2 linked regions of the Drosophila melanogaster genome follow. The protein of the gene in region 2 interacts with the protein of the main gene of each other region in a pairwise test. Each region holds a gene or a part of one and is shown on either strand. Other genes may lie near its edges. The genes, in order: CG8746 and Hmt-1.

Region 1 (3,781 bases), on a different chromosome or scaffold from region 2:
AGCTGGAAAAGGAGGCGGTGGCGGAGATGCAGGATTCTCCGAATCCGGGGAAGAATGCAGGAGGAGTCTAACAATGGACGGGCAGAAATCTCGTCGCCAGCGTCGCTAACAACTCGTAGCATTGCAGCTGCCAGATGTGGTAAGAATAGAGATGTGACGCGGAGTGGGTGGGTGGTGGTTGGATGGTTGGGTGGTTTGTGTGGTTTGGGTGGTTGGGGTTGTTGGTGCAGGGAGGGGCAGGTCGAGAGCAACATTTATTGTTTGCAAAGCCTTGTTTATTATTTTACGTGCATTTCTCTTGCCAGCTTCAGATCCAGAGCTTCAGCCTCGGCAAGGACTCTTTATGATTCACTCGGTCGCTCCTTTTGGTCGAGGACATTTTGTAAATAGCAATGCAGTGGCCCGGCCGCCTGACTTGGCCCAGGATTCGCCCATCCCATCCCCCTCCTCGAGTGGCGGCAGCGATTTTATTCACTCGCCGCTGTTTATGTGACCCGGATCATCCAGGCTCCCGGGCTGGTGCACCTCGCCTTGGTCCTGGTCTTATTTTTGGTCCTGCTCCTTGGCCCTCGATGCGGTTGCTTTATGTTTTTAATGCCGTGCGCCAAAAGTCCTATTGTTTGTACACTTGTACTTTATGTACCGAGCGAAATTTATGCGCCGCTAAGTGGATTCGTGGATTCTTGGATTCTTGGATGCTTGGATTCTTGGATGCATGGATGCTTGGAAATCGCGGATCCGAGGACTTCACCCCGCACCGGCATCTTGGCTCTCTCGTTTCCGGTTCCAGCATTGTTGCCTGCCAAGCAGGAAATGCAATCCTCGCCATCCATAAAACTTGTCCAAAATCTGGCGAGCTCCAGCCTTCGCTCAGGATCTCGGCTTTAAGGACGAGAGGGCATTACAATTATCCTGCGCGTGTCCGAGTCCTTGACTGCCTCCTCATCCGTCCATTTATTGCGCCGTCGAAGTAGGACAAGAAATTTGCGTTTGCACGGAATGAAAGTTGGCCTTTCGCAGCACCTCAATGAGCATAAAGTCGTAGCAAGTGCAAATCCTCCATTAACACTGGGACACAACGAAGCGAAACAGCACGACGCAAATCTTGGTGGTCCTGGGAGTCGGCGAAAAGGACAGAAAGGTGATTTCTGCTGCTAATTGGAAATCGAGGGGAGCGGACGGACGACCGGATGAGATAGAAACTGACCCGCCCAAGAAGAGTCACAAATGTTTGTTCTTTTGCAGGAAATTAAGGCGAAATGTAACAATCGAATTAGGCCGAGTTCGAGGGCAAAGGACACGGGTCAGATCCAGAATCCAGCAACCACCCCCCGATGCAAAATGATGGTGAAACCGATTTGCCACGTTTCGTTGGCGTCGGCATTTAAGAAGGCCCGAAACAACCGTTTGACCTTCAGTGCGGGCCCCAAACTTCAAATTGATTTTTCATATTCATTGGCATCGGGCTCAAAGCGATGGAGTGGGCTTGTGGACAGGAACAGGGACCAGCAATTCTCATAAATTAAACATGCTCCACATAAACTAAAGTGAAAAATGCGAGGGCAACGCAAAAAAAGGGGGGAAACCAAGCATTTAACTGTATATTTGAAATATTTTAAATATAAATTTCAATATTTAACTGCGCCCGCCGACAGGAAACGGTCGCAGGACAGCACGGCAACAACTACGGATACGGAATCGGAATATGGGAGCGGAAAAGGGACTCGGGGGGCAGGGACACAAGCCAGGAGAGCGGAAATGATCCATCGACCCTCGTGCTGTCGTCCCAAAACGGCCATGGGTCCACAAAAAAAAAAGGTTTCCTCTGCCGCAGTTCGTTCGTTCGGTTCAAACCACAAAAACGTTGAAAATATTTGTGTTTCCACTTATTTGCATTAATGCCACGAACCGATTTACTGTCTGTCCATCTGAGGTCGGTGGGCGGCGGTTGGTGGTCGGTGGGCGGGATTGTGGACTCGGCCCCCAAAAAACACACACAAAACACAACCATCGAGTGCCGAACATGAGGTCAGGCCAATAAATAAGTGTGACTTTAGTTGGCATCCCGTCCCCTTTCATTTAGACTTCTATCTGCCATTTGGCTAGTGCTTTTTTAGATTTCATGGAAAATAAATCAAATTATTGGCAATGTATGAGGCCCCTTGAAACAAAACCAAATTTTTAGTGTGAGCAACAGCGAAATGGCGAATTCGAAATCGTTAAAATCAAGCAACTGGCCCGGCATACTGGACTCCAGGACCGCATTGCGAAAGTACTTCGCACCGCCACCCATAGCGGCCGGAGCGCAGGAGAGACATACGACTTACTCTCCCCCAAACTTTGTGGGAGCTGAACCCATGCAGCAACCCAGAATGAACTCCGCCTGGCAATTGGCCAGCGATCCCTCTGGTCTCTCGGAGTTCCGTATTCCGAAGCGGATCAAGGGATTGAAGGATCGTGAAAGAAAGAAGCTGGAACGGAAGGTTTGGGCCAGGCCGGCAAGGATCGATGTAACCAAGAGAGCTGCCAAATTGGGAGCTATAAACATCGAAAAGTTGCAGAAACAGGATCAGGTGGAGTCGCCTCCAAAGTCGAGATCACCAGCTAAGAAGGAGCGAAAGAAGGTCAAGAAGCAATCGTCACTGCTTCGGAAGAGGCCCACCAAAATATTTTCCCACTCTGGCTTCCCGCGGCGCAGGAACATCCTGGTCGTGGACGCCAAGAGGTCCCCAGGAATGGCACACCTAGCTGGTGGAGCGGATCAACCTCTGAAAAGCACTTCACCTGGACGGGAGGGAGACGTCTACCGTCCGAGAATCAAGATGAGTGGCCGGTCCAAAAAGACCTACACCGTGCCCCTGTGCAGCCGGCCCACCGAGATAATAGGCACGCGCCTTCCCTACTCCCGCCAGATGCAGATGCGCCAGGAGAAGCTCTGTCAGCAGCCGGAGTACTACGACCAGTATATCCGCATGCTGCACCAGCAGCAGCGTCACCAGCAGATGTGCCAGCACGAGCAGCAGAAGCAGGACTTTGCCCGTCAGAGGTACCATGTGACCCAACACCCCTACTCCATCTTGCCACACGCCATGTCCGAGGATCAGCAAAACTTGTACTCCGTGCCCTCCAAAACGCCACTCAAAAGATTAAGGGGCGGCAAGCGGCTGTGTGGCAACTTTTACTACGACTAGAAATGTGATCAATAAACAAGTTGCAGAACATATTATAAGGCATTGATATTAAGGAAAAAGCGGGGAATGATTTTCTAAATTTATTATCCGAATCTTCGCATTCATATCATATGAATCGCTTATGTTAGGAGTTGGTGGGCATTTGTCATACTTTTTTGTCAGGCGGAAAACTATCTGTCAATAATGCCATGACTGATCACCGTATATATGTAATTATGGAAAAATGTATGAAGAGTATTCTATATACTAATAAATATTTTTATATATCAAGTGAGGGCTACGTCTTTAGGCCAATTACATGAATTCCTATCCCGCACGCACTCGCCGAACTGACCTGTTTAGCACCTGGCCTGCTCCCTTCCACCTTTCCATGGACGTTTGCCCTTCAGTGACCTGAGAACTTTCCGGTATTTAATATACTCGAAAGTACTTGGGGTGGAGTGGTGGAGGCCATTGGGCTGGCTGGTTCCTTGGTGAGATGTGGGCGATGGTGGCCTCTGCACGCAGATACAATTAAAATCGAAACGAGCCAACAATGCAAACTGGCGAACAAACAGGCAAACAGCGAAACACAGCAATGGAAACGAGCA
Region 2 (6,152 bases):
CAATGTTGCTTCTAGGTTTCTTTTTGATGCGCGCCTCGTCAATGAATAATTACGTCATATTCTTTTATTAGTTTCTGATACAGTTGGGATTATCAACTAGGTTACTCTCACGTACACACAAACACGGAACACTTGAGTAGCCTCATGGCCTGCTACTTGCTACTAGCTACTTCCTTCCGAGGTCGTGGCACTCGCTTTTCCACAGATCTTCCGACGCTTTTCACTTCGCGCACAGATTTCTCAATGTAGTATCAGTGAATATATGTATATATATTATATATAATATATATATCAACGCGACTGTATATTATCAGATTTTTCAAAGAAGCCGACGCTTTTCCTCCTTTATCGCCAACGCGTCTAATTCCCGGATCACAGCTCGACACGTCCGCTCTGTTCGCGATCCAAGCTCAAACTGAGCGGACATAACAGCCGGATGGTTGGCCTTGCTGGAGGTTTCGTTGATAAGAATCATGCTGCGAAGAGCAGCTTGGCAGCTGGGCTCTCTTACGATCTCTTGGGAAATGTCCTATAAATAGATTTTTGCCGCGTCCACTGGAACAACGTCTTACGGACCAGAAAACGGATTCTCAAATCTGATACATTCTGTTTAGAGGATTTTAAGATATCTTGCATAACATTATCTTACAATATTCCCAAGGACAATTTCGTATCCCTTCAAGACTTAATAATTTAATAAGGACTAGAAATACACAATATTGCGCTATTTATTTGGTACCAGACACATTTAAATTATATTAAATCTCGCGGATTGTCTATAAAAATCTACGTTATTTATTAGTATAAGAGTAGCATATAAGGTTACTTATAGACGAACTAAGACTTTGACGAGCTGCTCTCATACGTATAACAATACACCACAAATCACATGGAATCAGGAATATCAGAAACTACTCTGTATGTCACTTAAGGCTAGCGTGCTCCCCCATGAGCATGTCCTGCCCTGAAGTGGGCACCACCCGTTCCAGTACCACTTGGTCCTCCTGCTCCTCCTGCCCTGCGTTTCTCCGATCCCGATTCTGCACTAGCGTCTCCGTTATCAGAACCACCACTCTGTTCTGCATCTAGATTCTTGAGTTGCTGTTGCCACATGTCCGCGTAGATGCCATCTTCGCGCAGCACAAGCTCTTCGTGTCGCCCACGCTCCGCTATGCTTCCCTGCTGCAGGACCAGAATCTCGTCCGCATGGATGATGGTGGAAAGACGATGGGCAACAATGATGGTGGTACGATTTGCGCACACCCTGGCCAAAGCAGCCTGAATATTGCGTTCTGTGTGGGTGTCCAAAGCTGAGGTGGCTTCATCCAGGAGCACAATAATGGGCGCCTTAAGAAGCGTTCTGGCGATGGCTACGCGTTGCTTTTCACCTCCACTGAGCCGCAGACCTCGTTCGCCCACCTTTGTCTCATATTTCTCCGGAAAGCCGAGAATCCTTTCGTGAATGTCGGCGGCGCGAGCAGCCTCATAGACAGCTTCGTCCGAAGCGCCCAACTTGGCATATTCAATGTTGTAGAAGATGGTGTTGTTAAAGAGAACCGTATCCTGGGGCACCACTCCAATGGCCTTTCGCAGACTCTGCTGCTGCACAAGCTTGATGTTTTGTCCGTCAATCAGGATAGCACCAGTCTGCACATCGTAAAAGCGGAAAAGCAGCCGCATGATGGTGCTCTTACCGGCTCCAGAGGGTCCAACAATCGCTACCGTCTTACCGGCCGGAACTGTGAAGCTCACATTGCGCAGCACTATCTTCTCCGGTGAATAGCCAAAGGTCACGTTTGAGAACTCAATGCCACCGCCGGCAGTTAGAAGGGGCGAACAGCCTGGGGCATCCACAATCTCTTCCTCCTCTTTCAGCAGATCGAACATGTTCTCCATGTCCACGAAGTTCTTCTGTATGGCTCGGTAATAGGTGCCGAACCAATTCAGTGGCATGTACAATTCCATCAGATAGGTGGAGAAGAGCACAAAATCGCCCACGGTGAGGGTTTGATGGTGAACTACCAAGTATACACAGAGCAGCGATCCGGCCAGTAGGCCCAAGCACAAAATAATATTCTGGGCTGTGTTCAGCATGTTGAGTGTCAGCATTGAGAGGAACTCTTCCTTTTGGTACTTGAGAATGGCCTCCCTGTAGCAATCCACCTCGTAGTGCTCCGCTCCGTAGTACTTGACTGTTTCGAAATTGAGAAGGGAGTCCACGCTGCGAGCTCGCTGCTCATTGTCCGCCAGGTTCATTCTCCTCTGGTACTTGGTTCTCCATTCAGTGATTGCAATGGTAGAGGCTGTAAAACGGAAGGATATTTTGAAATACGAATGGAATTAATCGAATAATTTTTATCACTTACCTATATACAGGAACATGGTGAGGAAGACGATTAGGCCAAACCACCAATTGAAGGCGTAAACAAAGTATGCCACGGCAACGAGTAGATCGAGAATGGTTGGTGCGATCGAGAAGACAATATAGTTGAGGAGGTTGTTGATCGAGTCCGTGCCGCGATCCATGACACGCAACACCTCTCCCGTTTTGCGTTGCAAGTGCCATCTAAGCGAAAGCTGGTGCAGATGCCGGAACAGCTCAATCTCGATCTCCCGGGTCGTGTACTGTTGAACCCGTATCCAGAGGAAGGTGCGAAGGTTATTAAATAATCCCATGCTACCAGTGCCGCCACCCTGGAGGAAGGACAATGCCACATAGATCAGCACAAAGTCCCAGCGAAAGACGATCGGTGCAATGGTAAGACTGTCAACTGTCGAAACAGGAGATTAGCAATGAATTACTTAACGAATTACGTTCATAATTCTTGACCTACCCAACTTCTTGCGATAAATCGGCAAAAACAGCTTTATGACTCGACCGGCAAGCAGCAGTATAATGCAAACGATGACGGCTATCTGCAGAGCAATATTCTTTTTAGGCCAGAGGTACGGAAAGACGGTGCGCAGCTTGCGCCATCCGTTCCTGAAAGCAGATCCTGTCTGCACGTTTCCCTGCGATTCGTTGGCGGTATCATTGTCCAGCCGCTGATGTGGATTGTACGGGGCCATGATGCCAGGAGCTTTCAGACCCAAAACGAAGATGAGCAGGGAGCACAGGAACCGGGTGACAAACAAGCCCATCTCAATTTGATCCTTGTTCCTGCGAGTAGTAAAGGCGGTACTATAGATTATCCGTTTTACAGCCGTTTGCATTACTTACGTTTTTAGGTGGAACCACCAGTCCTCGTGGCGCAAATTTATGAAGGCCAGCGACTCGTTAATGAAAGCCAACGTCCAGAATAGCAATAGAACAAGTCCATGTCCTCGGGTGGGCATTGAGGGCAGCTGGTAGTAGCGCTCCTTGAGTATCAAACAGATGCTGAACGGGTAGGAGAAGCACACAACGCAAGTGGAGAAGATCTGCAGAAAAGATTTCGATCAGTAATTGTTTCTTCTTGATCATTTTCATACTTACCATATAGCCGTACACCGCACTATCTGGATAAATACGTGCATTCATCAGAAACCGCAATAGAGCCAAAACCGGGAGCAGGAGCAACAGAAAGAGTTGCATCGCGAACAGTCGTGACTTGGAGATTTGCGTGGGATCCGTAATCCTGGTGGCATACTTCCGGTACATCAGCAACTGAATGCTGCCGAAGAGCAGAAGGAATCCACCGTATACCGCCGGTCCCACGGTGTCCATGAAGCAATGCGAGATGCCATGCTGCGTCCACACCTCGCTGAGGGTCACGTTGGGCGGGCAGTACAGCATGGTGAAGTCGGTGTACCTGCGCGGCGACGAGGAAAGGCAATTGCGGAACGATAAGCTCTGATAGAAACGTGCCAGATAAAGTGGAGCTGTCACTGGGAAACAGCTCGGTGAACACAATTGCTTTGTTTTATGGGCTGGCGGCAATTTCGCAATTATTCACCCAAATTATCAGACGCCCCCAAAGGGGAAATCACTATTTTTTTCCTCCGGGTAAGCGGAGTGCAGATTGTGAATTGATAATTGGTGCCCTTGCAGCACGGCACCAAGAGATCCGAAATACCCTGGAGTCCGGCAACCGTGGAAACTGCAACTCATCCAGCCCATTGGATATGCTAAATTATGCAATGTTGCGTATGCTCGATTCGCCGGCGGGTCTAGTGCTCCCCTCTTACCCGCTATAAGAAGTCGCGATCTGGTGGAAACACCGCAATCAGTCGTGTGACAGGTGATAACTCAACTAATGGACAACTGGCGGGCAACTCCGACCCAATCACCACCAACTACGATCAACATAAATAATTTTGACCCAAGGGTTCGGTATGGCCGTTTCTGCTTACACACAACATACCACATACACATTGTACAGTGGAAACAGGTGAGATTCATTTAAATGAACATAGCTTAATATATAACATTTTCGATTGCTATAATAAATTCAGGGAGAGTTTGTTTAAGTGATTTAATTTTAAGCTATCAAAGGTTTAAAGTAATTCTCTTATCAAATTGAAGGTAACAAATTTTCTGGAAACGGTCACGCTAGCTTTCAGCCCTGGTTTTCAGCTTGGCGCCCAGTTTTCAAACCATTTTCTTATCAGAATTTGCGATTACTTTACCATTCCTGGTTTTCAACACACCATCTTATCAGAAATTGTGATTATTTCAATATTCCTTGTTTTTAAAACCCTATTTCGACATACTGCGGGTAAAATATACAGATTATATAGATTTCTTTATTCGTCAATTCTCAAAATAAATATTCAATGTTCATCTAATACTTTACATTCAAGAAATTTTCACAAATTGTCTACGCTTAACCTTAGGTAATAACTAAGCTAAGTTTTTGAGTTTGTAGAGAATGAATATTCAAAGCACAAGGAACAAATTGATTGGGAGTAAGTTTCTATTTACATCTAGAGTTGCCTTTTTTGTTTTTATTTTTGTTTAATTTGAGGTTTGGTTAAATATAAAATTCGCTACTTATGAGTAAGGGGATGGGGCGATTAAAACCTAGGAAACATTTTAGAAGATTTCCCGTACGAATTTCGAATTTGATTCGGTCGACTATTGACTAACCACTAACTTGTTCAACTTGGGTTTAACTTATTATCACAAACAAGTACATTTAATATGCATATGATTACAGTGAAGAGGGAGTCGACTCCCCCCCATACAGCTATGAGTTGATCTTGGCCAGCAGTGGCTGGGTGACGGCACTGCCCGCCACCGGTGGGCACTGCTGCTTGTAGCTCTTCACCAGGAAGCCGTAGTGGCTGCTGTCCGCCGGAATGTTCTGGCCACTGCCGCTCCGTTGCGGACTGGCGGCCACCATCTGTGGAATCGGTGGAGGAGCAGCCAGCGGCGGCGGTGTGGGCAGCAGTGGGGTCTCGTCTCCTTCAGCAAACTTGATCCTCAGCTGCCCACTGCCCATGCTGCCCGTTTCGGGGCCTGGGGAGGCATTGGCCTCACTCCTGGCGCTTGTCAGCAGCGTTGAGATCGTGGGCGAGGGCTTCAGCCGGGTGCGTTGGACACCCAGTGGCGGCGGCTGCAGGATACCGCTCAGATTGGAGCTGGAATTCGAGTGCACATAGCCGTGGCTATTGTTATTGAGGTGATGGTGGCTCTTGAGTGCTCCGCTCAGCGGCAGCCGGAAGTGTGCCAGCTCCCAGCTATCGGAGGTTTCCTCCATGTCCCTCAGACTGCGGCTGCTGTAGATGTCGCAGTTCCTCTGGGCAGCCGCCGCCGTATCCAGATAGTGGTTCTCAGTCTTGTGATAGTCAAAGCCGCCGCCATTCAGCTTGGGTGAACTGGAGCTGATCTTGCGTTTCACGCGGAGATTGGGCGAATCCTTGGACGGCGACGGTGGCGGTGGCAGAGCGATCGCAGGTGGCGGTAACTGGGGTGGTGGCGAGGCCACCACTAGTTCGGAGTACTGCTTGTGAAGATTATGCGATTGGCTGCGCTGCGGTTGTTTCAGTGAGGAGCGACGCGTGAGCATCAGCTTGCTGGGCGAGATCAGGGAGTTGGGGCGGGGTACCTCGCCCTCCAGCCAGTAGGTCAGCATCTCACCTTTGCCCTTCATGGGCACAAATCCGCGGCGTGTGGTCACAAAGGTGCCGAACTCGTCGAGCGCCTCCTTTGTGGTCTCACTTATGTGGAT

What was found.
Region 1: the proteins of Hmt-1 (region 2) and CG8746 interact in a two-hybrid assay, tested with the Drosophila melanogaster proteins (one large-scale study listed by BioGRID).

The regions. Positions count from the first base shown.
Region 1 is NT_033778.4:8,790,549-8,794,329, forward strand, and holds CG8746 (uncharacterized protein), read left to right. Parts: upstream 1-2,084; 5' UTR 2,085-2,201; coding exon 2,202-3,191; 3' UTR 3,192-3,225; downstream 3,226-3,781.
Region 2 is NT_033777.3:15,853,163-15,859,314, forward strand, and holds Hmt-1 (heavy metal tolerance factor 1), read right to left. Parts: upstream 4,309-6,152; 5' UTR 4,168-4,308; intron 3,792-4,167; 5' UTR 3,776-3,791; coding exon 3,476-3,775; intron 3,421-3,475; coding exon 3,221-3,420; intron 3,161-3,220; coding exon 2,835-3,160; intron 2,772-2,834; coding exon 2,367-2,771; intron 2,304-2,366; coding exon 934-2,303; 3' UTR 706-933; downstream 1-705. Other genes in the region: cv-d (crossveinless d), read right to left, coding at 116-146; CG31183 (uncharacterized protein), read right to left, coding at 5,169-6,152.